Linked DNA regions of Schizosaccharomyces pombe. Changing the gene in region 3 together with the main gene of any one other region gives a genetic interaction. Each region holds a gene or a part of one and is shown on either strand. Other genes may lie near its edges. The genes, in order: ste6, msn5, shr3 and ung1.

Evidence for each region.
Region 1: mutations in shr3 (region 3) and ste6 together harm fitness more than expected from each alone (negative genetic interaction), as found in Schizosaccharomyces pombe (one large-scale study listed by BioGRID).
Region 2: mutations in shr3 (region 3) and msn5 together harm fitness more than expected from each alone (negative genetic interaction), as found in Schizosaccharomyces pombe (one large-scale study listed by BioGRID).
Region 4: mutations in shr3 (region 3) and ung1 together harm fitness less than expected from each alone (positive genetic interaction), as found in Schizosaccharomyces pombe (one large-scale study listed by BioGRID).

The regions. Positions count from the first base shown.
Region 1 is NC_003421.2:1,762,675-1,770,757, reverse strand, and holds ste6 (RasGEF Ste6), read right to left. Parts: upstream 4,673-8,083; coding exon 1,937-4,672; 3' UTR 1,787-1,936; downstream 1-1,786. Other genes in the region: ubiquitin-protein transferase inhibitor Glm2, read right to left, coding at 20-1,534, 1,592-1,765; triacylglycerol lipase Ptl1, read left to right, coding at 5,720-7,235, 7,287-7,408; SPOM_SPCC1450.15 (pig-F/3-ketosphinganine reductase fusion protein), read right to left, coding at 7,681-8,083.
Region 2 is NC_003424.3:3,469,085-3,478,860, forward strand, and holds msn5 (karyopherin), read right to left. Parts: upstream 5,917-9,776; 5' UTR 5,724-5,916; coding exon 5,631-5,723; intron 5,548-5,630; coding exon 1,936-5,547; 3' UTR 1,429-1,935; downstream 1-1,428. Other genes in the region: zinc finger protein Cps3 , read right to left, coding at 1-761, 820-922; dbl4 (ubiquitin-protein ligase ), read left to right, coding at 6,477-7,991.
Region 3 is NC_003423.3:1,173,668-1,180,157, forward strand, and holds shr3 (chaperone protein Shr3), read right to left. Parts: upstream 2,247-6,490; 5' UTR 2,199-2,246; coding exon 2,088-2,198; intron 1,699-2,087; coding exon 1,162-1,698; 3' UTR 813-1,161; downstream 1-812. Other genes in the region: mtx1 (metaxin 1), read right to left, coding at 1-417; translocation subcomplex subunit Sec66, read left to right, coding at 3,194-3,772; mef1 (mitochondrial translation elongation factor G), read right to left, coding at 4,413-6,490. UniProt on the Schizosaccharomyces pombe protein: Involved in amino acid permease processing and required for the efficient translocation of structurally related amino acid permeases from the endoplasmic reticulum to the plasma membrane.
Region 4 is NC_003421.2:601,334-607,708, reverse strand, and holds ung1 (uracil DNA N-glycosylase Ung1), read right to left. Parts: upstream 4,736-6,375; 5' UTR 4,673-4,735; coding exon 4,446-4,672; intron 4,389-4,445; coding exon 4,056-4,388; intron 3,989-4,055; coding exon 3,580-3,988; 3' UTR 3,305-3,579; downstream 1-3,304. Other genes in the region: U3 snoRNP-associated protein Rrp5, read right to left, coding at 1-1,372; protein Spo13, read left to right, coding at 2,837-2,852, 2,904-3,304; DNA repair ligase Lig4, read left to right, coding at 4,906-5,137, 5,182-5,192, 5,280-5,342, 5,383-5,482, 5,548-5,644, 5,684-5,769, 5,824-6,375. UniProt on the Schizosaccharomyces pombe protein: Excises uracil residues from the DNA which can arise as a result of misincorporation of dUMP residues by DNA polymerase or due to deamination of cytosine.

The DNA.
Region 1 (8,083 bases), on a different chromosome or scaffold from region 3:
TAATTTTTGTTGTTGAACCTCATTTGTTGCGAGAATTTAGAAGCTCAATATAATACTTCAGTCCGTCTGTAGGAAGCTCTCCCTCATAATTATTTATTTGGTCGGAAATCTTAGTGAAATATACAGTAGGAAATTGGTTTTGACTTAACAAATTTTGAATCTCGAGTGAATAGAGAAACACCAGTGTTTGGTGAATGTACGATAGGGATTGAGAATCAAGTTCAACATCTTCCATAGCGTCAAACACTTTGAAAACATCCAGAAGGGTATTGGGAGATACAAAGTTTTTTAAACCTTCCTCATTACTATCTTTTACAAGAGAACACTGTTTTTGATAATAATTTAGGATAGCAGTTTTTATATTTAACAGTGGGCATTCTTCCAAAGTATCAAGTATGTAGGAAAGACGGACACTTGGTAACTGAGAATCCAGACATTTTGTGACTATAGCATTGCATGTAACACGCAGCCAAGGAAGTTCTGTCGAAGAAGCCATAAAATGATATCCATGGAGCAAACTGGAGAGATGCTCGAGTTCGGAGTCGGGAACCTGGAAATGAGGTAAATCCAACAAATATCCTTGATACACAGCAATATCTTTGAAACCAACACTATCCAATTGAATCTCCCAAGAGACCAATTGCTGCAAAGTTTCAAGGATAGTAGAGGGAAATTTTTCTTTCAAAAAATCCAGAAAGAAGTTTCCGCTTTGATAGAACGATTTAATTGTTAATAAAGCAAGACATCCTTTCGTGTCAAATTCAATTTCATCCCGCTTATCATCAGCCTTAGTAGAATTGTTATCAACTTCAGCAGGAACATCAGCATTTTTGGCTATTTCTTCGTCTTCTGAGGAAATAGAGGATGACTGACTTACATATGTAGCTTTTGTCAGCTCCTGAGCCATGTGCTCAGTAATGATACTCCAGCTCTCTGGAAGATGGGACAAAAGATAATCGAAGATGTTTATTATGGATTTTGAAAGGGTATCCAACTTGTCACAATTAGTCGTAGCGCCACTTAGTTCTTCACGAAACTCTGCATACTGATCTTTTGTTTGAAGCAGCGAACGGAAAGAAAGCATCAATGTTTCTTTACTTAAAAAGAGTTGAGCTAAAATACTGCAAGCCTTTAAACATGCCAAATAACACTCTGACACTGGAAAGCGATGCATTGCATCTTGTATAGATGATATTGAGATTTTCCAAACACAATACAGTTCATCGCTATCAATTTGCAAAATATTTGCTAACCCCGAAAACAATGAAATTAAAAAATTATTTACAAATAGAACTGGTCGCTTTGTAGATATACGGTGTAAGGCTGATAAAATGGCACTGTTCAGAGATATGAATTGTTGGGGACTTTCAAAGCCTCCATTTATCAAAAGTTCACAACATTTAAGGAACACCTCTCTTGGATTTCCGTTTTTGGCTAAGAAGTCCACAAACTCATCGGCCTCATTTTGTACTTTCCCAACATATGGAAGCACCATTCCTATAATGTCCCAGGAAATTTCGCGTGTTATATGGTCCTAATTGCAACATTATTAGGAGAATTCATATTTAATTACATGAATATTTTTACTTACATTCTTTTCTTGCTTCAATTCTTCATGTAGACACTTAATCAACTCTCGCTGCTCATCAATATCCTTTATTCGCGCTTCTTCCAATATCAATTCGAGTAGCGTTGAGTAGGTAATATAATCTTTGGTTTCAATGGCTACCTTGGCGGCACCTGGAATCGCTTCTTTCCAGTCCATTCTTCTTATGAATATTAAGGTGTGAGGTAAACGGACGAAAGATAATTTACGAGGCAGACTATATCAGAATTAAATGATTTTAAGATTATATTGTTCTACAAAAGATTTGAAAATATTAAAGGAATTCGAAGCAAGCTCATAAAAACTTAAATCACTGTTAACGTTCACGCTTCAAAAAATGCCAGAATCAATTAGCAAGCGTTGTAAGGCTTGATCTTCAGATTCACGTGGTTCTACAGTTAAACTTCTTTGATAGATGTTATTCGTGTTTCGCTCTCTCGATATAACTTCATTAAGAAGCTCTTGAACTTCGTTGATGGGATTAAACATGTACCCAACAGATTGAAACTTTTTTATCTCATTCAAAATTCTAGTGACTTTGGTGCGCTTATCGAAATTGATCATGTTTTGAAAGTTATCTTTATTTCCAGTTTTAAGGAAAGTCAGATCAGTGAAGTAAACACCTAAGAAAGGGACACATGGCAAGACACAGTTCTCCAGACAATCTCTATAATTACTGAAATTTTTCCTTGCCTCTGTCAAATTGTTTAGAAGCTCAAAACTAGCCAATGTTTTACTATTCAAATTTGCCCATGTCTTACGCAGCCGATGAATGGGTGAGGAATTTAACGCAGAAATGATGGAAAATAAACTAGCAAAATTGTTAAGCTCTCTCAAATAATCACAGACCTGAATAAAATATGCTAGCACATTGGTACGTCTGCGAGGTTCTTCTTCTTGCACGATGGTTTCGGTCACAAAGTTAACCAGATGATTCGACAAATAAAAGGTCGAAGTTTTTTCTTTGGGTGAGAATCTGTTAAGATTGTCCCAGATTTTAGTTAGGAACTGAATCCTTGATATGTGTGAAAATGATTGAAACTCTAAGATACATAACTGCTTTGCAATTTCACGAGGAGGTAGAAGTAAAACCAATTCATCCTTATATATAATTGGATCAGGGGAATTATGGAGAGAAAGATCCTCTAATTCTTGGGATAGCTCTTTTCCCTCTAGCATTTTATGTGATCTTTTTGTAGAGGGATGATGAAGTAGGTGTGATAAAGAATGCAATAATTCTTCAGCAGATGCAAAATGTGGAACTACAAAGACTTCAAAAACTTTATAAATTTTAAACAAAAAGAATATTGACTTGGAATTGTCCAACTCTTCAACAAGATACGATTCGAACCAAATAAGAAGTATATCCAAAAACCTCTTACTAACTCGGTAAAATTCGTGAGAAATAAAAGAAATTTTTCCAAAATTTAATGAGCAGATGAACCGAAAATGTGCTCCAAGTATGGAAAATAAATCTGAAGAACTGATCATACTAGCGTATGTGTTTAAAAAGATAGTAGTAAAAAATGTACTATCTATATCTGTCCTTAGAAGGTAATTTATAATGAACACTAAAGTGGCTGTTTTTATTTTTCCATCTTGTTCAATTTTACCATTACATGACCAAAATGAAAACAAAAGGTTTCGGATCAATAATGGCTCTGGTGAAGTCTGTTTCATTAAATAACAAACTAATCCTTTAGAGTCGAACCAGTTGGTTTTATTGAGGTCAAAACCATCAAGTTGGGACTTCTCCGCATCATTCAATTCTGGTTGGATATTTGTGAGGAATTTGTATTCTAGAGAAAGAAACACAATTCTTTCTGAAAATTGAACAATTATTGACTTGATCCGAAGAAGGGATACTTTCAAGGTTACTAGTAAATCAACAAAAAGGGAATAATTGTCCAGTAAACAATCGCTAGGTGAGATTTGCTCCAAGTCGATACTCCACAAATATAAATCACATAAGTTAGAAGACAGTTCATCCTTCAAGGCTTCAACATCTTGAGAAGTGAAAGAAAAAGGGTTATTTTCAGAGGAAGAATAATTTATTCTTTGATTTGCAGACAAGAATCGCCTACAACATTGAATGCATCTATCGATGTCCTCTAGAATATCTAGTTTCCAAGCTTCTAGTGCATCTTCCGCAACTAGCTGTAGTACTTTTTGGGTTGTATTTTCAGTTAGCTTCTGTGCTTCTAAATTCCAAAATTCATTCTCAGTGCAATGGTAAGCTTCGTGTGAAAGTGACAAAATTGCAACAAAGGAAGTAATATCAGGTTGGAGATTTGTATGTGCTGATTGTACAGAATTGGAACAGAGCATATTAAAATCCCATGGCAAGAAATGTATTTCATGCGCTATCAAAGAGCCCAAAAAGTAAGAAGGGAAGGAAACATCGGGCCTGAAGAAAAACAAAAACTTATTAGCCAATTGCTTCAAAAGCTTAGTAAATCTGATGCAAAGTTCACCATAAGTGCAACCCATTCGGCTCAACTCTGGCAATAAATTTAATGAGGAGAACACTTGCGCGACTTCTGAGAGAAAATTTTCATCTAATGTAGAAAGGATTATCAAGGGAAATGAAAGAACCATACTACGAACAGTTTCAATTCCAAAAACGATCACTTGAGTGCCTTCCTTTTTTATAGATTGTGACACAGCGGCAGCGGTGGTGAGAATCCCTTTTACAAGGTGGTGAATGTCATTTTGAAGATTTTTTCTTAAGAACTCTTCTGAAGAAGGGATACTATTTATCGCTTGCACTCCGTGTTTCTCAAACCATGCAGAATCTTGAAGATGAGCCTCTACGTGAAACGGCGCACAACATTGAGCATTTGGGTCTTTCTCATTCGATGAATGAAAACTTGAAAAAAAATTTTGAATTTTTGAAGAATCAATGCACGACGTGGGGAACCAACCTCGTTTTTCTGAGCAAATTCCGTCGCACCAACCGTCCTCGAGCACTTCTATAACTATGATAGTGTCTCCTGCAGAAAATTTTAAAAATGAAGGATTAGAGCTGTTCTCATAATCACTTATTGCGGTCGTTTGAAACCTCATTTTCGTAAGGGTCCATGAATGCTATCAATTCCACGATTCATTTATTTTTGAAAGAAAAGAGGAAATATACCTTCTTAAGTTATTTCAGTATTTTCCTGCTTTTAAAATAAAGAAAACACCCGTTTATTTAAAAAAAAAGCTTGTTTTCCCATTATTAGCCATTTTGGGAATTTCTTTGTTTACTAACAATGGGCTACTACAATAGAAATTACCTGTGAATTTGGCGCGTCGCGTTTTGTCACTACGCAACTGTAATATTACATACAGTATTTCACTAGACTATGTTGTCAATCACTTTCACAATGGACTCACCTAAAACCTGTGGGTATGCGACTATTCCGCAATACAGTAATACTTCGTTGTTTTCACTATTCAACCCTATCCTTCGCTATTCAATAAATACAGAAAGAAAAATGTTCTTCCTGAAAAATAAAACAGATTGTCCTTCTGGTAGCGTTTTTCTAAAAAAAAAAGTTGAATTCTTTTCTATTGATCCAAACTTGATGACTATTGTTAAAGGAATAGACCAGTGAATTTAAAAGCTTTTGCGACTATCCTTGACCGATTCATTTTAGGCAGTAAAAATACGCAAAAAAATTTTATGTATCGCTATATTTAAATACCGTATGTCATGATAGTCGACTCCACTTTATTATAGTGTATTGCAATTATTTCGTTATAGTACCAATATAATACGGCAATTTAATACGCTATACACATCATGCCCACCTATAAACTGCCCATGACATAGGGTTCACCGAATTCACCGACAAGTTCAACAAATGTTTTTTCCCACGGATGTAATCGTGCCAATTGCCATTAACCAGCTTCAATTGAGCTAGTTCTATGAATTGAGCTGTTAGGTGGAATTCTCCAATTATAAAAGATATTGTAGTAGTTCATGAAGTGTTTGAAGCGGATTTTAGTTGGAACTTACAAAAATTAAAGGATAACTCTATCCATAGGTCCTGTTGAGACTTGTTACGTAAAATTAGAAAAGATTGGAAATTGTATTGTAATTTGTGAATTTACCATTGTTTGCCTAATATGACTGCACTATTTAATTTCTGGCGCATTATGTATGCGAATATTTCGTCCATTTGGCTACTGGTGGTTTCATTTTTTGAATGGTTATTTTCCGCTACGTCGATATCGCAGCAGCGTGGTTCCGGCCCTCGAAAGGGAAAGGTAGTTATGAACAAGGATTGTCGTTCTTGGGAGGATTGGAAAGTTTTGGCTACGACGATTGACAAGGCGTCGGGGCGTTGGAAATGGCGCTTTACTCCTGCCTCGGACAAGTACGACTATCTATTGATTGATCGATGCACGGTCTCCTTAAAACGATACCGCCAGAGGAAATCTGTCTATCCCATGTTAATGTTCTTGCGCTCTAGCTTACTTCGTAACTTTGGCAACATTGGCAATTCCTCTCTGTATACCGAGAATTACTCGGGTACAAAAATTTTGATTGAAGAGTATGTACGTGAGGTCAACAATTGTTTAGAGTTTTTATATCACACTAAAAGGCTTTCCTACGACGTTAAGTGCGATTTTTTTTCCGCTGCCCGAATTTCCTTCGGTACTACCTGTTTGTATTTCAACGGCGGCACTGCGTTTGGTCTATATCACTTTGGGGTAGCTAAGACCCTTTGGAAACGTAATTTGCTTCCTCAAATCCTTGCAGGATGCGCATCAGGTGCGTTGATTGCATCGCTTTTGAGTGTCTATCGTGATGAAGAATTGAATGGTTTGTTTGATACTTTCCCCAGCGAACTGTGGAAAATATGTCAGCAAACATCTGACTATTCTCTTTCAAAAGTTGTGGAGTATGGGAATATGCTTGACATTTCCATGATAGCATCTTTTGTCCGTCAAAGACTCGGTACTATTACCTTTCAAGAGGCTTTTGAGCGTACTGGACGTATTGTTAACATCGTTGCTCCACCTTCAGCTGTTTCTGGATCCCCTCAGGTTCTTAATTATTTCACTGCCCCTAATGTGCTGATCTGGAGTGCCGTATGTTCTAGCAATAGCTGGGCTGCCATTTACCGCTCTTCTCCTCTTTTGGCTAAACTTCCCGATGGGTCTACCGAGGTGTGTACTCCCAAAAATTTTATTTGGCCGTATGCTGGGCTTCCTAATACCGGTCGCTCTAATCCTTATGCACGAATCTCTGAGATTTTCAACGTGAATCATTTTGTTATTACCCAGTCTCGCCCTTCGTTGTTCCCTACATTTTATGATGAACTTCATCATCATCGTGTTTCAGGATACTCCTTAAAAATGATACGCTTAGTAGGATTAGAAATGGCTTACCGTTTCCGCCAACTGGATATTTTGGGTCTTCTACCTCCAAGACTACGTCGATTTTTTGTTGACGATTATGTTCCAAGTGCGTATATCACGCTTACTCCAACATTTTCTTTCTCGGACATAAAGCATGCATTTACCAAGCCCTCATTAAGCGACATCCAGTATTGGATTCTAGTAGGTGAAAGGGCCACATGGCAAGCTATACCACTTTTACAAGTTCGCTGTAAAACTGAAATTTCTTTACGACATCGTATGTGGAAGCCGATTCTTTTTTGAGTTTTGTTACTTGCTAACCTAACAGTTTCAAAAAACCTTACCAACAGTTACGTTGAACCTTTGTCCGTTAATAATCTGGCATCGCCCTTTGTCACTAATTTAGAAGAAAACCAAGAAAAGATGCTGAAAATTTTTAAAGTAAAATAGACGGATTTTTTAAAAAAAAAAGCATTTGTTTATAATCTTGTCCCTTAAGGATTGGTCATGCGTTAATGTTAATTTTATTAGTTTTAGTTACTTTGGTTAATTTACATTTTATTATATATTTACTACTCATAGGAAAACAAAATACTGACGTTCATTCTATTTTTTTAAATTTCTAAGAAATTTCAAATCTATTTCTCAAAGTATAATTAGCGATAACGCTCCGCTCTTTAACGATAACTAAAAATAAAGAATTTAACCAACTGTATAATTGTCTATTGAAGAATCTCTCCAACTATAGCTGCAAAAGCATATCCTAAGAATGCACCAATTACTATAGTAATGGGCCAAGCCTGCCAAGGACGGTCCCAATCTAATGGGATAGGAAAAGCGCCAAACCAAGCACCAATAATAGGACCCCAGCTTCTTAGCTGCATGCTACCTATAACATTAAAGGATTTTAAAGTAAGGAACCTTTGCCATTGTTCAGTGTTAAAAGCAAGCGTGCTTGCAAGAGGATATACAGTAAAGACGCTGAGCGTTAGAGCACAAAAATACGTCAAATGAAAGTCGTGCAGAAGTGGTGCTCCAAATGCTACGAGAATGAAGGAGATGAGTAAAGAGCCTATCAACATTGATGCTGCACCGGCAAGTAATCTCTTTGGGGTTAAGGGTGGG
Region 2 (9,776 bases), on a different chromosome or scaffold from region 3:
AAGAGACATAGATTCTGGATTGAATATGTTTCTCGTTCTGATTCCGCTGCCAAATGAGGCGGGTGAGATGTGATTGGAGTTAAGATGTGCCTCTGGCGTATGCGGATAGGAAGAACTAGATAGAAATTTGCTTCCAGAAAATGGAGAAGTAGAGCTTTTAACAGATATGGAGCTGAGGCTACGCTTTGCATGTGGTGAACGTACCGTGGAACTTCCATTAGTTGCCTCAACATAGGCAGGAATGGTTTCTATGCCAGTCACATCACTGAAATCCTTAACAGATGCTTTCTTTGAGAGACTATCCCCCACAATAGAATATACGTCTTCTGTAGAAGCGGAGAACGCATTGGCAGCAACAGTCACCTCCGATGGAATAGCTACGTTGGATTCTTCCTTTTTAATTACTAAAGCTTCATCTTTTATTCGATTTTTTTCTTCTGAAGCTGTGGCTGATGCCATAGTAGTCATTGGCAATATTTTGTCATTGTTGGAAATGATGTTAGCCATAGGAGCAGCAGATATGTTTTGAGAGCTTGAGCCCATAGCTGTAGTAGATGGGGCAAAGGCTCTTGTCTTTACTTTTCTTCCATCAGGTAAAACATGTTCCAACGCGCATTTAGAACCAAATTTACAGTTTCCTTTTTGGAAGTATTTACAAATAGTTTTCTCTGTCGCCAATTCTAAATCGTGACTAAATATACAGTTTTTTCCACTTGTACAAGTTCCTTGCCTAAAGAACTTACAAGGAACGTGTTGTAAACCTAACTTTGTTAGTGAATCTGCTCAACTCTCCGTGATCGTCGTCCACAGCCTTCTTACTTTTTGGAGAGGGTCTAGTAAGCGATGTTGCCTCCGAATTAAACTCGCTTAAATGATATTTCTTCATGTCTTCTGAATTTTTAAAGGCATTTTTCTTCGTCATTTTTGATGCATGTATGGGATTGATGTCAAAACACCAGATAGTTGCTCTGAAAACGAAGAAATGAGAGCCGCATTAAAACAGCCTTATAAAAAACTTCAATCAGCTTTTTATAAAAGGCTTCGTTTGCGATATGTAGCTTCTTGAGATATACGATGATGGGGAACCTTGTTAGGTCGAAACTATATTATAATAGTAAGTAAACCTTAGAGCACGCAAATTGGGGTCACAACCTTGGGTGTTGGAAAGAAAGTCTACACTAAACGAAATAGTCAAGTCTATTAATAATATTGTATATATTAAATACTTCTAAGGGGATTTTCTAATGATATCTCGTATTAGTGAAACCTCCGGATGTTGGGGTTGGTGTGGTATTGATAAAGACTGAGCAATGTAAACAAAATAGCTAAAATTCAAAACAGTCAAATTAAGATTTCCAACAACCCCAAAGGTCCCATTATAAATACAGGCGTTTTAGCCGAAAATTACATAGAAAGAAATGAGTGTTTATTAAATAACAAGCAATTAAAAAAAAAAGCATCGTATATTGGCTTATATAAAATTGCCCAGCTTCTACATTGATAGATGTCAATAAACACATGCATGCCATTATATACATCATTAACAATAGTAAATATAAAAGACTAATCATCTCTTTCCCTTTGCAAAGAGATAAAGGACATCTATTTTTTCACCCTTTTTTAAAATCTAAGAAATGTAAGCATTAAACGTTAAATATAAAGTCATAATGATAAATTTAAAAAATCATTCCACAACTTCAAAAATGCTGGATCGGTTAATTCCATAAAATGACCATATGTGCGAATAGTTAACCAGTAACTCATTTCCAAGCAATGCTAATGCTGCTGATTTACAGTACTAAAAGAAATAAAGCTAGGAATTTATTGAACTGAGTAAAACGACTACTCTGAATGAGAAGTCGTGATATCAAATTAATGTGTTCGCGTAAAAAAAACAACAATCTTTGAATGCTTGCCATTCCTTGATTTTATCTTTTATTCAAAGAGATTGGCCAACCCCGTATCTTCGTCTCTTGAGAGTACATCATTTTTTTGCTCGTCTTGCAAGCTAACACTTTTTTCAAACCTTTTCAGCATTTCTTTGGCGCTTACATCAAGGATGGCGGCATTGACAGCTCTACGGTCAGTTCTCGGTACAATTCGACCGGAATTAAGAAGTCTCGTAAGCAAAGCTTTTTGAATTTTTAGCGTGGAGGCTTCACGGAATTTGTTGAAAAATGCTGGAACCAAATTTTCTTGATTGGCAAGGGCCGGAATACTAGCCAGCAACTGAAACGCTGAATCAGTAATTCCTTGCGAGTATGACAAAATAATACAAGCTAATCGAATAAAATCTGACTGCATTGACTCAAAGTAAGGATCATGGATAGCTAGAATGACTGATTGAAACACCTGTTGGCAGATAAACTCTCGTACTAATGAATGAGCCTGCTCAGATACTAAGAGTGGAGTAATCGCCAAAAACGCATTTACTACCAACCCCACAGTCCGAGAGTCATGAATCACCAATAAATGGCATAATGTGCATAATAATGGTTCGCAAATGATAGCGTTATCCAATACATATTCGGAAAGCTTTACAGGACCTTCAACAGTCTCTTTTCCTATTAAGCTTGAAGAAACATTGGACCGAGATTGGGTAGGAGTGATTTGTAAAAATGTTTCGGTAATCAATTTTGCGGTAGCATAAGTTAGATGACGAAGCAAGGACTCTTCAATCATCTCCTCTGACAAATCATCATCCTCTCCTGTCTCCTCAGCATCTTCTTCAACAAGTAATCCGCGATCGTTAATCCGCCGCCACTCACTAACTAGTTTGTGATCTAATTCGGACAGCAAAGCTGGCAGTAAAGGTAAAAGACATTCATCGCGAAGTTCTGCAGGACAATTAACGCAATACGGTTTGATTACAACATTCACCATAGACGTCCATTGATGTAAACTTAACCCAGCTGCATGAGAAAAGAAAGCTGTCAAAAACTGCTTAGACAATCCGGGTACACAAAAAAATGCTTGACCTAGACGCATAAATGAAGCTATAGCATAATAACAGTATTCCCTTAAACGCCTTAAAAAATGACCGAACGAATGTATTAACTTGTTAGCTGAGACGTCCATCTTGTAGGACTCTTCCAAAAATTGATTTTTAGAAATTTGACTTACACCATGCAACCAAAATCTTTCAACAATACTTTTTTGAAGTATCGAAGAATTGTGCATTCCTAGACCACTTATAAATGAAGGCTCATAACAACAATGCAACTGTTCAACTAATTTTAACAAATTTGGAACAACATTTGGCAAGATAACTTGCCATAGGTTCTTTTGCCCTTCAAATTCAGATGGATGTATGTGTTTATTACTACAGGTGGCTTCACAAAATCTCCCCAAACATTTAATCGGCCATAACCATTTACGGCCAGTTTCAAGATTTGATTGATATGAAGCAGCATCAGCATCCAGTTCAAACTGTGTGTAATCAGCATTGTAAGGATACTTTGCTGATAAGTATTCAGCCATTTGAGGAAACCCAATGTGATTCAAAAACTCCATTGGACTGTTAACAGGTGGCTGAACATCAAGCCAAGTCTTGACAACCGGTCCAACTAATTTTTCAAAATATTCATTTTTGACTTCAATATTGACATCAGAAAATTGAGTTATTACAAACAGAAATGTTTTTAACATTACAATTTCAGAGCCCGTTAATGTTGTAGCATTGTCCAATTGATCGATGATAGATTGCAACTGATCAAAGATATTCATCAAAGGGTTCGGCATTAGTTCTCCTAGTCTCACAAGCTCAAAGCAGCATCTACTCCGCATCTCATTAATTTTTTGAACATCGGAAAATCCATACGATGCGGAAGTGTTATCGTATGTGACAGCAGATATAATTTTTTCAAGGACAACACCAAGCAGGGTAGTATTTTCTCTTGCAAGAATGGATGTAAATAACACTAAGACACTGATCAAACGAGTAATCAGCATAGGGTCTTTGAAGTTAATTTCAACAAGCTGTTTGCACCACAAAAACAGATTTTGTAAAATTATTTCATAAGTAGCGGGATCATCAGAAGTGTTTTCGTTCCAACGAGTAACGCCGTGCAAAAACGCTTCTATCGTTGAAAATCCAACATCCATTGTAAGATAAAGAGGACTGGTCTTTGAAAAAAATTCAGTCTGGGATTGAATATCTTCCATATTGCCAAGAACAGTTGACTGAAAACGATTTTGAATCCAGTTTAAGGACTCGATGGGAGTGATGGATACGGTTAATCTAACAATGTCAAACATAAACCTACGAAAGTTACCGCAAAACGAATGCACAGCAGAAACACCTTCCACATCCTCTTGAAGGTATTTAGCAGTAGCAGACTCCGGTATGAGTTCAACAACTGCATCCTCAAAACGAAGTAACCTCTCGGAGGCAATACTTAACAACTCAGGGTAAACGATTTGAAATTTTTCATGTTTGGAAATAATGGGATCCCTCAATGCTAAAACCCAAAAGTGTTGAGATATAGCACTGATTAATAAACTAGGATGTTTCATGATTTCCAATACTAGTAAGGAATAAGTGTCCAGGGATGTGAGTTTAATACATTTCCGTCGATTAGAGTCAAGGTAATTGTATTGGCCCAAAGCAACTATGGTCTCAGACAGTTTTTTTAAAAGAATATATTCGGGAGTTGTAGATGAAAGTGTTTTAATATTTATTGATTCAGATGTGGCAGTGTAAACTTGATGGAGGGTATAGAGACTAGATGGGGACAGCATTTCTTCGACTATTTCCCACAGAGGATCATCAATTTCCATGGTTCTGGTTACACAAATATAAATGCAATCAATAGCGTGTGTTTTTAAAAAGATTGGCCCTTGGACTAAAATTTGACAAATATGTGAAACGATGTTTGCCTCTCGAATGGAATCAGTAGCTACCCAGGACAGGCAGCTTTTGAAACACTTTAAGCATTCTAAAGCATCATCTTGACTTTCTAAAGCGTTGCCCCACCGGATAAGCCAACCCTCATTGTTAGAAGGGATAGTAACGGAATAAGGAAGACCTGAAGGATATAATTTGTGCAGGGTGGAAGAAGAGGATAGGATGCTGATAAGCGCATTAAAAAGAATATGAGAGCGTAAGGATGCAACGGGATCATCATACTGATACAAGTCTTCCATTATACCACGCAAGATGAGGGAAGATAGTTGACGATGCTGAAGGCTTAAAGACCAAAGTGATTGTAGAAAGGAGTCAAATTCTTCTCTCCATGTGTTATACCAGTCTCGTTTTGCAATTTCAATAAATACGGAGGCGAGTTTACTACGCACAAAATGTACGGACAGCAGGTTATTGTCTTCGAGTGATATTTTACATAAAAAGCTAGTGACAGATTCCTTTTCCTTATTCGAGAAACTTTTCCAATTCATTCCAACACTCGTTTCAAAAAGACTAAGAGAGAAATGTTGTACTATATGAATGTCAAGTTTACAGCCGAGTGAGGAAAAAGCCTGCTCATTCAACTCTAAGAGTTGAATGGCGACCGATGGACTGCTGTACGAATCTTTAAGTTCATCTAGTAACTAAAAACGATAATTAGCAAATATTCATGGACCGTTTCCGCAAAGCACCATGGCTATCTCCATTATGACTCATCGCGACTTACCTGCTGGGCAGAGAACCGAGTTTCTCGCGAGCTTTCAGGCGAATGCACCACATTCAGAGCTTGTAAAATATTTGATAAACCTTTTTCATCCATCAAAACCAGTTTATTGAAATCGAGTCACTGAAACTCAAAAACTGTTTACTTCAGGACTCCTTTGTGATGCAAAGAAATTTACAAAGATAATCAAGTAATCACAAGTATTCCAATACTTAGGTAATAAATAATGAATTTTCCTTAATAATAATCTTGAAACGAAGCAAGATCGTAACTGCGTGTTGGGTGTTTCAAGAAACAATCAAGCCAGCATACACCGCATGTGTTTAGCCTGCCATTCATCGATAACGATACATTGCAGTGTGTTATATACATAGTCAACTTTCTTTTCTCGTTTCAACCCCCACTTGGTATTGCAGATGGAGGCTAAATTTCTAATATTCTTTGAATGCAGCAGCATCCATCTCCCGTACACTTCGTTAAAACATTTTTGATTTGGAAAGCAGGAGGGCAATTGTCTTGCTCATTTCATAAAGGCCAAAGCCGAAGTATTTTACCTTTTGCATACATCTGGCTCTTATTTTTCAGTCTTGTTACAGGTGGCCATTTCACGACAAGCTTTACTAAAGATTTCACGATTTACTCGTTTGTTTTGTTTGAGTGGATTCCATCTGCTGTGGCATCTCGTTTGCGGTTTAAACAATTACTTTCCTGCTCGGATTATTTGTAGGTTTTTTGCTTATATAAGGCAATTCGGCAAAAAAACAAGTGGTTTTGCTGATAGACAAGCATTCATTGTATACCTTTCTTGAATATCGGTTAAATAAATTTCGGTGAATAACTAAAGCTAAGATGTCTGACCTATTGGACGATGAATTTTATGAGGAAGAATTTGAAAACGATCTTTTGGATGCTTCTGAATTCGAGGATGAATTTGATGAAGATGCAGAAATCGATGATGATGGGTTCACTGTAGAGAGGAAACGGCGGAGAGCTCACAGCGTGAGCTATAGAGTGGTCAGCGTTCGCGATCTTAGGGCCTCTCTAAATGAGAAGATTAATCAACTTACTAGTATCATTGATTTGACGAGAGAGCAAGTGCTAGGGTTATATCGATATTTCAAATGGAACCGCGAAAGACTGCTAGAGAGGTATATTGATGCTCCAGAGGAATCCCTTCAAAAAGCAGGTGTGGGACTTAGTGGTTCTAAACAGCGGGAAGTTGTTCACCATGAAGGGACTTGTGAGATTTGTTACGATGAAGGTTGTCTCCCATTTTTCAGTGCTGAATGCGATCATGAATTTTGTTTAGCTTGCTATAGACAATATCTTGATTCCCGAATAAGTGAAGGTGAAAGTGTCATTCAATGCCCTGAAGAGAGCTGTACGCAAATTGTATCCATTCAATCCATCACAAAAGTGTTAGACGAAAAGTCACTTGACCGGTATCATCGGCTTCTGGATCGCTCATTCGTTGACGATAATGATCATTTAAGATGGTGTCCAGCTCCGGATTGTGAGTTTGCTATCGAGTGCCATGTTACACAAGCTAGTTTAAGTTCGGTGGTGCCTACAGTAACCTGTAATTGTGGCAAGCAGTTCTGTTTTGGCTGTGGACATGACAACCATCAACCGACAATATGTCCACTGGTAAAAATATGGCTCCAGAAATGCCAAGACGATTCTGAGACGGCCAACTGGATTCATGCCAACACGAAAGAATGCCCAAAATGTTCTACCACTATTGAGAAAAACGGTGGTTGTAATCATATGACTTGTAAGAAATGCAAATACGAATTTTGCTGGGTTTGTCTGGGTCCTTGGACTGAGCATGGGAACAACTGGTACACATGCAATCGATATGAAGAGAAGAGTAGTACAAGCGCTAGGGATTCGCAATCGAAATCTAGAGCCTCATTAGAAAGATACTTACATTACTACAATCGGTTTGCCAATCATGAACAATCGGCTAAATTGGACCATGAGCTATATGAGCATACACACAAACGTATGACTCAAATGCAGGTGGATTCCAATTTATCTTGGGTAGAGGTGCAGTTCCTTAAGAATGCGGTGGATATATTATTCCAATGTAGACAAACCCTTAAATGGACATATGCATTTGCCTATTACCTTGCAAGAAATAACCAAACAGAGATATTCGAGGACAATCAGCGCGATCTTGAGCTAGCTGTTGAAAATCTTAGTGAGCTATGTGAACGTCCTTGTCAAGATTGTTCTCTTAGCGTTTTTAAGCAAAGGGTTCTTGATAAAACAGTTTATGTTCGTAGTAGACGCGACGTCCTTCTGGACGACACGGCTCGTGGTTTGGCAGAAGGCAGATGGGAATATGTTGTTGATGTGTAAATTAAGAAAGAAATTTATGATGATTCAACAGCAACTGTTCCCTAATTTATTTTTACTTCCTTTTTTTTCGACTGGAAGACACTAACCAATCCTACGAATTGAAATGAATTAATTATCATTCATTATTTAATTTACGAATGCATTAATAAAGAAAAAAAGAAAGAAGGAAACTAAAATATATCTCTACAGTACGCAACTTTTTGAGATCTGCGTTTGATCGTCATGTTTATTTATTTCCTCATTTCATTCATATAATAGAATTTCATTTTACTTCTTTTTTGGTTTTTGTTTTTTTTTTCTCTTTTTCCTATAACATCACACAAAAAAAAAAAAAAAAGAAAAGAAAAGATTGAGAGAAAAGTGCAAAGCAATTACTTACTTGTATTACTATATCATATGACGAGCTTGTTAATAACAAACAATTCCATTTATATTCTTCTTCGCAGGTAGTGAAATATCGAGTTGTGAGAATGATTTTCTTATGCTTGTTTTATTGATTTAAATGATTCCAATTTGTCTTTAAATCCTGGGTGTTAATTTACAGTCGTTTCCTGGCCAGGACAGAATAGCGAAGGGTCGAAGATAAGGAAGAAAGAACAATGCGAATGATTTATTGAAGCGAAATCTATCAAGAAAACAAAGCTATCGAATATGTAGTTGCGTATTAGAAAGGGTTCTAAATTACTATTGTTCAGTTGTTTGGGCTAATTTGTTTTTTATTTTTTTTTTCTCTTCTGTGCCTCTGTCTCTTTCAACCCAAGTATGTGTAGACTTACAAATTCCTAATCACTACTGCTACTTTCAATCTCATTACACAATGCGAGTGTAGCGAAGGTACATCTCTGCATCTCTTAAACTTCTGCATAAAGAAGGTATAAGGAATGGTATAGAACCTTGCGATTACTAAAATATCTAATTGTCCTAACATTTCAAATGGTGTAAGGATAATCGATGAATTAGTTCTATCTACAAGATACCCAAATAAGATCATTTGATTTATTGGGATATGATTCTCCTTTTATTTTGTAGGTTGATGCGAATGTGCCTTTTTGTTGAAATAGCTTAAAACTGAATTTCATTTCTCAGTTCAGTTGCAGCTCTATATGTATTCTTTTCTAATAGGTGATATCACTGCCATCCTCGTTTAGACGGAAGTCTTATGCACGTGTCAATAAGCGAAGCTTATTTTAGTATTCGAAAATGGGACATATAGTGGTACGCAACGTATTCCAACATTGTGCTGTGTATAGCCGAGAGTATATTAACGTTGTGTTTCGTGTCATTCTTTTTCCAGTTTCCTTTTTGCTTTCGTCATAATATCATCAGGCTTCGTTCGCACTTTTTTAGATGATATCACCAAGTAACATGTGTCAATACGTCGTGATATTACGTCGGATGTAAACAAAGCAGATGCTAAGGAATGTAAACAAACATATTAAGGGATAAACAAACAGTTAGGGTCTTTATTTCTCACTACAAATATACTAGATTCTATATATTTGATTCGTTGAAAAAGATTTTTTTTTTTTTTATGATATTCAGATTTCGATTCGAATCCCTTTTTTTTGCGCTTCTCCGGTTAATATTTGGAAAACTTTTCCCACTGCTGGAAGGATCCTTTTTATCGTTTTTTCCTAATACATTTATTTAGAAAAATTTTGTCTTTCAGTTAAGATGCTGGTGAATTGCGCACCTGAACCCTTGAAAACACTAGACATCTTAGTAGAGCCGGGGTTTGATCAGTGTTTTAATGAACAAAAGGAGCTCCTAAAGCATATGGTTCAA
Region 3 (6,490 bases):
AGCATTGGGTGTCAAATAATTATGAGGAAATTTAAGTGCCTTTGACCAAGCAGGTCTTATTGCTTCAACAAAATTTTCCTCATTAACAAAGGCTTCTAATAACCAAAGGTCATTGACGGAACCTTCCAATAAACTGGTGAAGGCCATAACATTGGCCAGCTGTTTCGCATCAAAATTATCCAAATTATAGCCCTTCTGTTTCAAGTATATTAAAATGTTTTTCAAAGATCCAATCCAAACATGACCATCCCACAAAGCTGGTAGCTTATGGGTAGGGCTCATACCTGAATTTGCAGTGCGAAGAATTTCAATTTCGTCCTTTGGGACGGCAAGTGCGCAATAAATTAATGCCGCTAAGCATCCAGGATCCATCGTTGGTTGCCCAAGTCCTGGGCTATAAATGAAAAGTTGCAACATTTTGATCAAAAAATGACCCGAACGAATGAATTGAAAAAGTTACCGTCTACAGTAGGGTTGAGATTAGAGAAACACAGAAGAAAGAAAAAAAAGGTAATAACTAACCAACTAGTCCAACTTACCAAATTCGCTGAAGCTAGTTACAATTATCATTCTGATGCTATGCAGTCAAGTAAGCTATACGAACAAGTAACATTGTTACCTATTTATTAGTTGTTAAAAAGTGAATTAAACATCGATAATTAGCACAATAAATCGATTGAGCATTTGAACTTTGAGATTTTACTTAGTATATTTGTATGGCGCTTCTGCTGTATCTGCAGCGTAAAACCCATCTAAAATGAGACTTTGTTTATGCATCCATAGTATAGAAGAATATACAATCTCACAAAAGCTTCACTTGTGATAATCCTTTTTGCACAATGAGTACATATTTAATTATTAAGAAGTATAAGTGTGCTAAAGACTATTCTAAATCCAAACATAACGAACTATTCCTCTATCGAAAATTCAAGTCAATTTATTTCTTATATAAGACAGTATAAATCTTGTATATATATAATTGTACGTATGAATACACATGTAAGCTTTCCCAGTTACCGTCAATGCAAGTCACTCTTTGCTTTCTAGTTAGACATAAACTTTGCGTCAAAGAGTTGATGACGGACTAGCAACAATAATTAGCAAGATATAAAATAGTTCACTCTATTCCAAAAGTTGTAAAATTAGACCCAAGTGGTTTGTTTACTTGCGCTTTGAAACAGATTCGGTGGAAACAGTTTCTACACTCTGAGTAGTAGCAGACTCGGATTCCAATTTAGCCTTTTCAGCTAATTCTTGCTCCCTCATATCTTCAGCGTATTCGCGCTGCTGGATACTTTGAACATGATATCCGAAAACGTATCCAAGTTGAATAAGAATGACACCAGCAAGAAGAAATTCAACAAGAACATGAGAAGCAGCAAGAACGGACAAGTGCATATTTCGTGGGAATTGAACATAATTCTGTAGCTTAACAACCAACATAGAAGGAGCAACATTAACAATAAACAAAATTAGTGCAGTAAGATAAAGAAGCGTGCTAGAGTAAAAGAACAATTTGTCATCACCTTTAGCGCCAGTGGCTTGAATAAGATGGAAAATCATATTAAGTCCCATGATGGTATATACAGTATATTTTACAATGAAATGGGATCCAGCCACCAAAGTATAGTAAGTTTCAGCAGCATCGAAAGCAGACTCAGGGCCAGGACTCCATAAGGTATTCACATCGGCAACGCTCTAAATGACATTAGTAATTTATGCTAAGAAAATAAAGACTATGAACAAAGTAATCAATTCGAAGTGAAGCTCCAAAAACATAAGAACAACAGAAAAATGAGCAGCGCGGCAAACATTGAGCGGTAAGATGAATGCTCGTATCCGATTATGAAAACTTAAACAGACAAAAAGCTCCTTTTTAGAAACGTTCCTGATAAAATAATTTTCCAGATTTATTTTAACAATGCATGTTTTGTAAAACAAATTCAGAATTCACTCAAAGTACCGACTTATAATTTCTCATATTCTGCTCCCTTTGTCTCCAAAAGCTAAACGAAATTGATATCAAATGAAAGTTGATTTTCAAATGAATAATCTTAGAATAAAATAGAAATTTGATTGGAACATACGCTGTGGAAAAGTAAAGCAAAAATAAAACTAGTTGACATAAGGACTCCATAACGGGCAGCGACCTTCAAGCCCTTTTCATCAGCAAAACGAAATATGGATCTTTTAGCCATCTTGAATAATGATAATAAACTTTTTTTTTGTTAATGAAAATATACGTTAGTGGTAGGTTAATTAAGACTACCTTTTTATACCAAAGTGATACCACTCCGCTTTCGACGGTCTAAAGGATTGTATGAGTATAAGGAAATCGAACGCATTTTCCACTAATATGCATTGTATGCAGAAAAACATCATGAACGGCTATCTAAATCTCACGAATAAGAAAAATCAACCCAAGATAAATCAGTTGGCAAAATTATTTAATATAAAATATAACCAGATATATTTGAGCGACTATTGTATGTCACTATTTATTGTAACTGAATACACAACATCATAGCGTTTTCAAGTTAAGCGAGACTGTAAAGCTTATATCAAAATAAGGGAATTTATTAATTGGCTGTAAATAAAACAAATGAATGCCAATGCCTCGATATGTAAAAATACTAATAAAACTACAGAAACAATATAGAAGAACATACAAAGATCCTTTGTATACTTGAAAAAAAGAAATAATTTCATAAATGAGGTGTTTTTGTCTTCCTAACTATATGTTTCGTCAGTTTTCACAATGGTCGCAAAATCTGTTTCTAAAATGCTCAATTGTTTATTATCCTAGTTCCCTATTAGTAAATTTTTTTCATTTCTAATTCTAAAAACTTTTACCTGAGTTTAAACAAACAATTGAACAATATCCGATCGATTTGTTTATCTAATAGCGCATCGCGTAAAATATTTTAGCGTCTTTAAGAAAACATAAATATCTCTTATCTACAAATAACAGAAAATTACATCAACCTTATAAAATATAAAGCATTCCAGAAAACACACTATTCTCCTTTCACACCTAAACTGGTCTTGCATTCATTTGGTCTCGAAGTTATATCTCATATACATATTTGCAGTCCACTCTGCAAAAAACAAATAATACAAAAAGGGTATACGAGTTGTTAAAGAAAAAGGTCCCTGCTTGCTTTACATACTTGGCCGTGTTAATTAATTCAATATGGTGTCGATTTACGTTCCCTTGATATATATTACCATTTTAATGGGCTCTATGTATGGAGTTTCTCGTTTTGTGCGAAAATCCAAAAATCAGGAATCAAAACCAGTATCAGAAGAATGGTTTGGAGAAAATTATTCTAGAAATATATTTTTCAGTCTTTTGCAGCAGAATCCACCTGCCGAGGATACACTTTTGAAAGCTGCTCTCGTTTTACGGGCTACAGAAGGTCTTCGTCGATTGATGAAGCTTAAAGTATCGAGAATGGCATTGAATAATTTGCTCAACCGCGGCGGCGTTGGTGACGAGCTAATTCGTAAGTTTGGTCGTTTGGAAAAGGAAACTGAATTGGAGTTGATGGATATTGCCAAAACTGCCAATTCATTGCAGCCTGGATGGAATCAGTTTATATTCCAAACTTGCAATGAAATAATTGAAAACGAAAAAATTCACAGCATAATTGATAATATTCCCAAGGACATTGATTCTATTTCGCAACGTTGGCAAACCGAAAAAATTCTGTATGAAGCCGCTGATGAGGAATTGCGTATTCAAGCCCAAAAAGAACTTGGAGTGCTATAAATTGTTTTAAAAAAAGATGTTCGTATGTGCCTTTATTCTTTTTTTCCTGTTTCTTTCTTGCATCTGATGTTTTACGTTTTCTTATCTTTTTCTTTCTTTGAAACTAAAATTCCTATTTTATACAATAATCCTTAGAACTCATTCATAAATCAAATTCAGTAATAGACTCCATAAAGGGGGCTTGCTTTATCACTGTCCTTACCTTTATATTGAAAGTCATACTTTTTTCCTATTCATATTATCTATCATCCTATTCCTACTCCCTTTTTTTTCCAAACCAATAACAAAAATATGGAAAGAAAGAAGGAAAAAGAAAAAAGCACTATTTGAAAACAAGTTATTGGAATTCAAATGTATGTTCTGGCCAAAATGTCTCCGTTAAGAGCTCAGCCTTTATAAGTTGGTCTATAATTTACTCTTCATATTCTTTAATATACTCATTCTCTGTTCCATGAACTATCTTGCACAAAAAAAATTGTACATTACTTGTATGGTAATAATCTGGGTATTTATTTTTTTTATTTGCATGTAGATTGCTGCGTTAGTAAAGAGGAGAGTGGATCAAAATTTTTTTTTTTAAATAGAAATGACTGGTTACCAAAAACTTTGCTGTTGCTTCATTTAAAACGGACTTCAAAAATTATTTTTGTTGTTGTTTGTTGTACGCGTCAACAAGTTCCTTCTGCACATATTTTGGTGCTGGAAGATATTTGAGAAACTCCATGCTAAACTCACCCTTGCCTTTAGTCAAGGCTCGTATATCCGAGGAATAAGAAAACATGCTGTTCAAAGGGACCTCCGCCTGCAACGTAAACTCATCTTCGTCTGTATCGCTATCGACAATAGTCGCCTTACGCTTATCAAGATTACCAATTACACCACCTTGATGTTCAACAGGCGCCGTTATGCTTACGTTCATAATTGGTTCCAAAACCATTGGGTTCGCTTGCAAGAAAGCTGTACGGAAAGCAGAAATGGTGGCTAAACGAAATGCCAATTCAGAGGAATCAACGGGATGATAAGCACCATCTTCTAAAACGAACCTGCAATTTTTTATAGGATGACCAATGAGAAATCCTTTTTTCAATGCTTCGTAAAAAGCTTTTTCACAAGCTGGAATATACTGCGTAGGGACTGTTCCACCGGTAACTTTGTTGATAAATTCACAATCAACAACGTTTCCAGATTCGTCTTCCACACCATCCATGTATTCAATGTACCCTTCTACTTTTGCATATTGACCGGCTCCACCAGATTGTTTTTTGTGCAGGTAGCTGAAAGGTACCTTTTTGGAAAGAGTTTCCCGGAATGCAACTCTTGGTTTACCCGTTTCACAGTCAACCTTGTACTCACGACGCATACGTTCGACATAAACTTCCAAATGAAGTTCACCCATACCACTAATGATGGTTTCTTTCGATTCATTATCCAACTGCACACGAAAAGTGGGATCTTCACGCTGAAAGCGATTCAAAGCCTTAGAAAAACTGGTTGTATCTTTGCTCTTCGGTTTTAAAGAAAGTGAAATTACGGGTTCTGGTACAAACATTGAAGTCATAGTATACGATACGGAACCGTCCGTGAAGGTGTCTCCAGAAGCGCATTCGATACCAAATAACGCACAAATCCCTCCAGCTTCAACCTTTTCGATTTCTTCCATATCATTGGAATGCATACGAACGAGGCGTGAAACTTTTATTTTTTTTGTAGAATTGACATTGTAAATGTAATTACCCCGCTTGAGTGTACCTTGATAAATTCGCAAATAGGTGAGCTGGCCAAACCTTCCCTCCTCGAGTTTGAAAGCAAGAGCGACAAGCGGCTTCTCACTGCTAGGAACAAGGGATACTGGCTTTTCTGAGTCTGCTGCATTCAAAGCTATATTTTCGACCTCAGAAGGGTTGGGTAGGTAGTCGCAAACAGCATCCAAAACAGATTGAACTCCAACATTGGACAAGGCAGAACCCATTAATACAGGTGTAAACTTCCTTGCAAGTGTAGTTCTACGAATAGCTCCCATAAGCTGCTCAGGTGTAGGGTCTTCTTCCATTACGTATATATCAGCAATTTCTTCGTCTAAATCGGCAAGCTTTTCAATTAAAGCTGAGCGCTTTTCTTTTGCTAGTTCAATAAGATTCTCAGGAACCTGCTGAGAAATTTCGATTTTCTCACCCTTCGACCCACGATTATAAATTGCACGCATTTGTATAAGATCAACCACACCTTCAAGTTTGTCTTCTTGACCTATAGGAATTTGAACAGCTGCAGCGGGAATTTTCAATTTTGTGTTTATTTGCTGAATGACCTTCCACGGATCTGCACCCATACGATCCATTTTGTTAACAAAAGAGATCCTGGGGACATTGTAGCGGCGCATTTGTCGATCAACTGTGATAGTTTGCGATTGAACACCGGAGACAGCACAGAGTACCAACACTGCACCATCTAGCACACGTAAGGCACGCTCCACCTCAATGGTAAAATCAATGTGACCAGGTGTATCAATAATATTAATGTTATAACTTTTCTCAAAGTCAGTTTTTTGTTTTTCGTTAGCTTCAATCTGATCCACAGTACGTTCCCAAGTGCAATGGGTAGCAGCCGATTGAATGGTAATTCCTTTTTCCCGTTCAAGTTCCATGAAATCCATTTTTGCTCCGACATTATCCTTTCCTCTGACTTCATGAATGTCTTTTATCCTTCCTGTATAGTACAAAA
Region 4 (6,375 bases), on a different chromosome or scaffold from region 3:
TTCGAGCCTCGTGGGTGCTATCAACTTTATAGGGGCCAGAATTGGGACTAATTCCAGCAACCTTTTTATCGGAAAGGCGTGAAATGTGAGCAAATCCGGATATCTCAGGTACACCAACATCGCAAAAAACGCCAAGTGAGGAGGATACATACGTAACCTTAGCAGCATTGACGATAAAACCAATATCTAGTTGATCGGGATGTGGAGTATTGGGAGTTGCGAAGTTGAAGGTAAGCACGTGAGGTAAGAAAGATACTGCAATTTTAGGGGGATCACCGGGAATCACAAAAAGAACGCGAGCAGGAACAGATTTAGCAAGCTGGAATTTATCTTCTAAATCTTCCCCTTTCACGGGAGAAGAATGATAAATATCACTAGTGACATCTACTACACCCATATATTTTGCAATAACTCCGCTTTCCTTGATGTCCGTTACCAAAACATTTATATAGTCACCAGGAAGAATAGCTTGTACAGAAGGCATAACCTCAAGCGCCTTAGTGGATGTCGCAGTGAGAGAAAGATGGAAAATTCGATCTTCTTTTGAAATAACGGAACACAATAAACTTTGGCCTTCAACAAAAGGGAAATCATTTATGTGTTTTTTGGATAAAAAACCAGTATAATTATTAATACCAATATCAAAAACAATACCATGATCTTCAATACTTGAAACCACGGCCTGTATCATCGACCCAGCAACAAAATCCGCAGCCTCAGGAGCAGAACCGTTCGCATCTTGCGGCTTAAGACTTAGCTCGATGTGTCTTTTTCCGGTTTTTGTAGTATTTTCCGAGCCAAGGGCTGTAACAGAAACACGCACCCATTGACCAACTTTGTACAAATCCATCAAATCCGGTATTTGATTAAGACCGTCTTCCTCTTCAGTTGCTGCATTATCTTCTGCATGATTGTCAATACTATCCAGACGATCAGAAAGCTTATCGGAGATATTTGTGATAGGTACATAACCTGTCAAACAGTTTGGTAATGAGACGGCCAAGTCCAACGTATTTATTTGAGCAATTTGACCTAAAATTAAAGAGCCGGGTGTGATATTTTTATATCTTAAGCTTTGAATATGAACCTTCAAATTTTCTTCGTTGTCCAATTCGGATTTGGAAGATTTTTTACTACCCTTTTTCTTAGGACGAGTTTTTTTACTCAATTCAGCGGTACCAGAAGCGGACTCCATAAAGTCCTTCTTAGCCTCTAAAACAGCTTCTTTATACTCTAAAGGAGTCAATGAAGACGCCCCACCTCGAGGGAAATCTTGAGTTGCCTCGTTAGCACTCAAAGAAGAAATTCTCTCATTCCCTTGGGAATCCGAGCCTTCGGAGGCATTGCTCCTCTTTCTTTTATTTCCAGCCATTTACTTCTATGAACTTCTGAAAAGAAAGAACGACTGGAAGAAAGAAGCTTTTTATACAAAGTAGTTGGTAGCGAGTAAATTTATGCTGCTGCTACAAAAGAAATAGTCTAGGAAGGGTAACGCATCATGAGAATTTCTTTTAACGATGAATATTGTACTACGCAATAATATGAGAGTTGAGGAACTTAAAAAAGGTGCACAAACAATATATGCGATTGTACATGGCAAAAAACAGAAAAACTTACAAATTGATCATTTAATTTAATTTTTTTTCTTCTTAATTTTTTTTATCTTAGTTATTCGCACTGCATACACTATTAATTTCATAATGAATAATGCAAATGCCAGAATGCTTGTTGGTACAAGCAAATGAAACGATAAATCTAAATTTACGAAGCTTGGGGATGTTTATTTTTTTTCTTTGATTAATTTTTGTAGCAATGAAACAAAATTAGGAACAGCGCGGTTGTAAGTTTATTACGCCGGACATTTCCATGATACATAGGATGAAAAAATTGGCTATTACAATAGAAATACAATATTTATCACAGGTACAAAAAGAATTTTGCGTAAACCCTTGTTTTTAGCGCTTACCAGTTGAAATGGCATCGATAGTGAATGTCAAAAACCTTCTCCTCAATCTAAATGTTGACCGTCGAAAAGGTTATTTCCGAATTTCCTTTGAAATATTAATTTTTACCTCCATTATTTCTTTTCGTTACTTATAGCATTCAAGGGTTCAAAATTGTCTTGTAAGTTTTTATACCCTCTTCTATTTATTATTGTTCGCAGCAATTTTTTTAAGCTCTCGTTAGTTAGATTAGTGTTTCGTTTACAATTTTAACCCTACCCTACCCGAATGAATGTTTTGTTTACACTTTGGCAGGTTACAATAGCAGTGGACATGAAAATGAAATGAGGAATTGCACTCTGTAATTGTAAGTATATGCTTGAAGCTCATATAGAATATGATAATAAATTCAAAGCATCTTTATAGCTCAAGTATCTTGATTTGAAATCAAGGACCGAGAAATTGTTACATTTTGTTTCTTTCGTTTATTGTTCGATAATTTTTGTTGTAAAAAACGAAATGAGGCTCACTTAATTCTTTCCTGTATTGGGTAAAAAAAATTTTTGTATGAAATTGATAAAATAAATTTATTTCTTCAGTGAAATTGATTCAATGTTCCATAAATTGTATATTGAATGTATTGCTCATAAAATTCACGCAAAAAAATATAAATAAAAAAGAAACAAAGCAAACTGATAAAAATAATAAACGGATGATTCTTCAACATTAACGAAGTCTTTCTCCTGTTTGTTGTCATTTATATTACGGTTAACAGCCATATGTACTGTGTCAACAAATGACATTTTCTCTAAGCAAACAACTTTAAACCACTGTACTTTTGAAAAAAAAGTTAGCAATTAGTATTTTATAGGAAAGGAAAAAAAATTGAAACAATGATGAGCAATTCTCGTAAGGGACAACATGACAATACAATATAAAACAATTTTTTCTAACATGTAGAAATTTCAAAGCTTTTTAGCTCTATCTCTAACAAGGAAAATTCGAATGAAAATGCTTTAAAAGAAAGCACGAATAAACAATTAAACAATGCCAATACTTTAGCAATAACCCATTTGAAGGAACAACTTTCGAGAGAGGTTCAACGAAGAGAAGAGTTGGAAGGATTGCTTGAGCAAAGTCAGAAAGAAATGGAAGATTTATCGGTTTCACTGTTCACTGAAGCAAACGAAATGGTGGCCAAGGCAAGGCAGGATACAGAAGTATTAAAAAGAGAATTGGACTATCTCAGGGCAAAAGAAAAAGGACGTATTGGGAAACTAAGAAGCATCCAAACTGCTGTCCGAACTTCAATCGAAGCCAGAAAATTACTGAGTTATTCTAACGAATCAAATTACCACTGATTACATTAAGTCTTTAATAAATGTGCCGTTTACGATGGATTTGACATAAATATTAAACTTTAAAATGAATGATTTAAATGTTAAGACAAAAAAAAAATAAATCCTCTGCGAAAAGAAAGACATAGAAAAATAACACACATTAAGCAAGTCCAATTGTAGGTAGAATAAAGATAAGCATGCAAGTGGTATAATAAAGCAAGCATGACAAAAGAAAATAAAAAGCTTGATTAGACCTATTAGCATCCAGTAAACGAGCAATTATTTTCTGACTTTTTCTACTCAGTTGAAGAGGATTCCAACTCGCTAGACTTTATTTTTGCTTTTTGTTCAGAAACAGCGCTCCAATTGATGCATTTTTCAGGTCCATACTGCTCTTCGAGCCACTCATTGGTTTTCTTGAAATGGTGGCATTCAAAAAAGCCACGATGTGCAGAGAGAGGGCTAGGATGGACACTTCTAAGTACATAGTGTGCTTTCAAAGGAAGACCTTGAAGTCGCTTAGCTGCTGGAGTTCCCCATGCTAAAATTACAAGACCCTTGCGATTCCGATTCAACGCAACTTGCAGGACAGCAGAAGTGAAAGTTTCCCAACCCTTGCCAGAATGAGAAGCAGCTTGATGGGCTCTTACAGTTAAACTAGCGTTGAGCATTAAAATGCCTTGGTCAGCCCAAGGAACTAAATACCTGCTTCATTAGCAAAAAGCCAAATCTTAGAAAGAAAAAATATAAAGACTAAATAATTTTAACGTACCCTGTTTTCGGAATAACAAAATCAGGATAATCGATCTTGATGGCTTTATATATGTTGACCAAACTTGGTGGACATGGAATTCCTGGACGTACGGAAAAGCAAAGACCATGGGCTTGACCAATGTTATGGTAAGGATCTTGTCCTAAGAGAATGACCTTGGTTTTATGAAGTGGAGTATGATGTGACCATGAGTAGATATCTTCTTTCGGCGGGAATACACGTTGGCTTTGCCATTCCTTCATCAAAAACTCTTTCAGATTCAAAAAATATGGCTTTAAAAATTCATCTTTTAACGCATCAAACCAAGAACTCTCCAAAGTATCAATTTCTAGTCTAAATAGGTTAACAACCTTTTCCAATTTTCTAGCCTACATTGTAAGCAATACTTACTGTAACAGCTTTCTTTGAGCAGGAGTAAGATTTTCTGCCCATTTTTCTTTATTGAACTTTGAGACAGAGTTGTTCTCTTTATTATCAAGTACCTGAGTATCCTTTAAAGCAGGCGATGAGGTGTTTGTCTTAAAAAAATTATCCAAACGTGGCTGCTTTAATTTCCCGTCAAGTTTATTAACGGTATCATCAGCTTTACGCTTATCTGTAGTATTCAGAACAGTCATTTTACCTAACTTATTAGAAAACAGCTCTCTGCTCCATAAACATACTGTCCACCGAATCGTTGCAGAGAACAGGCTTTCATGTATGATAATTAGAAGTGTTCGTACTACACACTTGACACTACCACGATAATGAGACTAAATTGATGTTTATTTCTTATCGGTTATTTATTTGAGAAATATTATTGATCATAAACTGTATTATAAAACGATTGCTTCAAGCCAAAACCTAAGATATGGACGAAGCCAAAGAGACGGTATTTACGAAACCTCAAAATCATTCAAGCACCCTTGAATTCTATGATTTTGTTACAACATTATTGGAACCGTTATCAAGAATTGGAAAGACTAGGAAATCCAAAACATCAAACCTTGACCCTTATGAATTAAAGCGCAAAATCCTCTTGGATTACTTTAATAAATGGCGACAACATGTAGGACCAGATCTTTATCCATTACTTCGACTAAGTAATTTAATATTTGTATTTTATTCCTTATACTAACTAATGGAGTGCTTCCTGATGTACGACTTAAAATTGTTAGACCACTAAATCGCATTACATAAAGTGTCTTAATCGGTGTCTTGAATTTCTAATTGCTAATTTTCTAGTTGGATCGTGAAAGAGGATCATATGGGTTCAAGGAATTTGGGCTTGGAAAACTGTTTATTCGAGTAAGTAATTAAGTTGCAACATCAGTGACTAATTAACAAGGCTATGCATTTGAGTCCTACTTCTGAAGATGCAAAATCTTTGAAAAATTGGAGAGGATCCGAGTCCAAACATACTGGAGATTTTTCTACCATGTTGCAGGGTGTGTTCATCATAGTTTTTGTATTCCAATTGATCCTGATCATATTTTAACTGAAAAAAATTTAGATATTTTACAAAGAAGGGCATACAGGACCTTTCCTGGTGCCTTTACAGTTGGTGATGTCAACGCCCTGCTGGATCAATTAGCAGATGCTTCTTCTGAGTATGTTCTAAATTTTTTACCGTATCTAACCTTAATAAGGGATACCCGAGTTAATATTTTGGAGCAATTTTATAGATCCTTGAGTCCTCTTGAGCTTCGATGGCTAATTCCCATTTTACTGAAAGGTTGGTTGGAAATGATATTTCTTTATTTATGACCTAACTTTTTTATTTCTTTAGTTCGAAAATACGGAACATCGGAAAAATTCATACTTTCTGTGTTCCATCCTGATGCAGCTCGATTATATCGACTGTGTAGCTCCTTAAAGAGAATTTGTTGGGAGCTCTATGATCCTAGTCGGTCTCTTGATGAAACTGAAACAGATGTGGAAGTCTTTAGTTGCTTCCAGCCTCAGCTAGCCAATTTCAAAAAAAAGGATCTCCATCAAACGCTGGAAGCCATGGGAAATAAACCGTTTTGGATTGAAGAAAAGCTAGACGGGGAGCGTATTCAATTACACATGAGTTCAGGAAAATTCCAATTCTATAGTCGAAATGCCAGGTCGTACACTTATGCCTATGGCTCTAGTTATTTCGATGAACAATCTAGGCTGACACAATACATCATTGGAGCATTTGACAAACGTATTTCACAAATTATTCTTGATGGAGAAATGGTTACATGGGATCCAGTGTTGGAAACAGTGATCCCATACGGAAGTTTAAGAAGCATTTTTGAAGATTCTTCCTCTCATTCATCCTACAGCCCTTATTACGTTGTGTTCGATATTT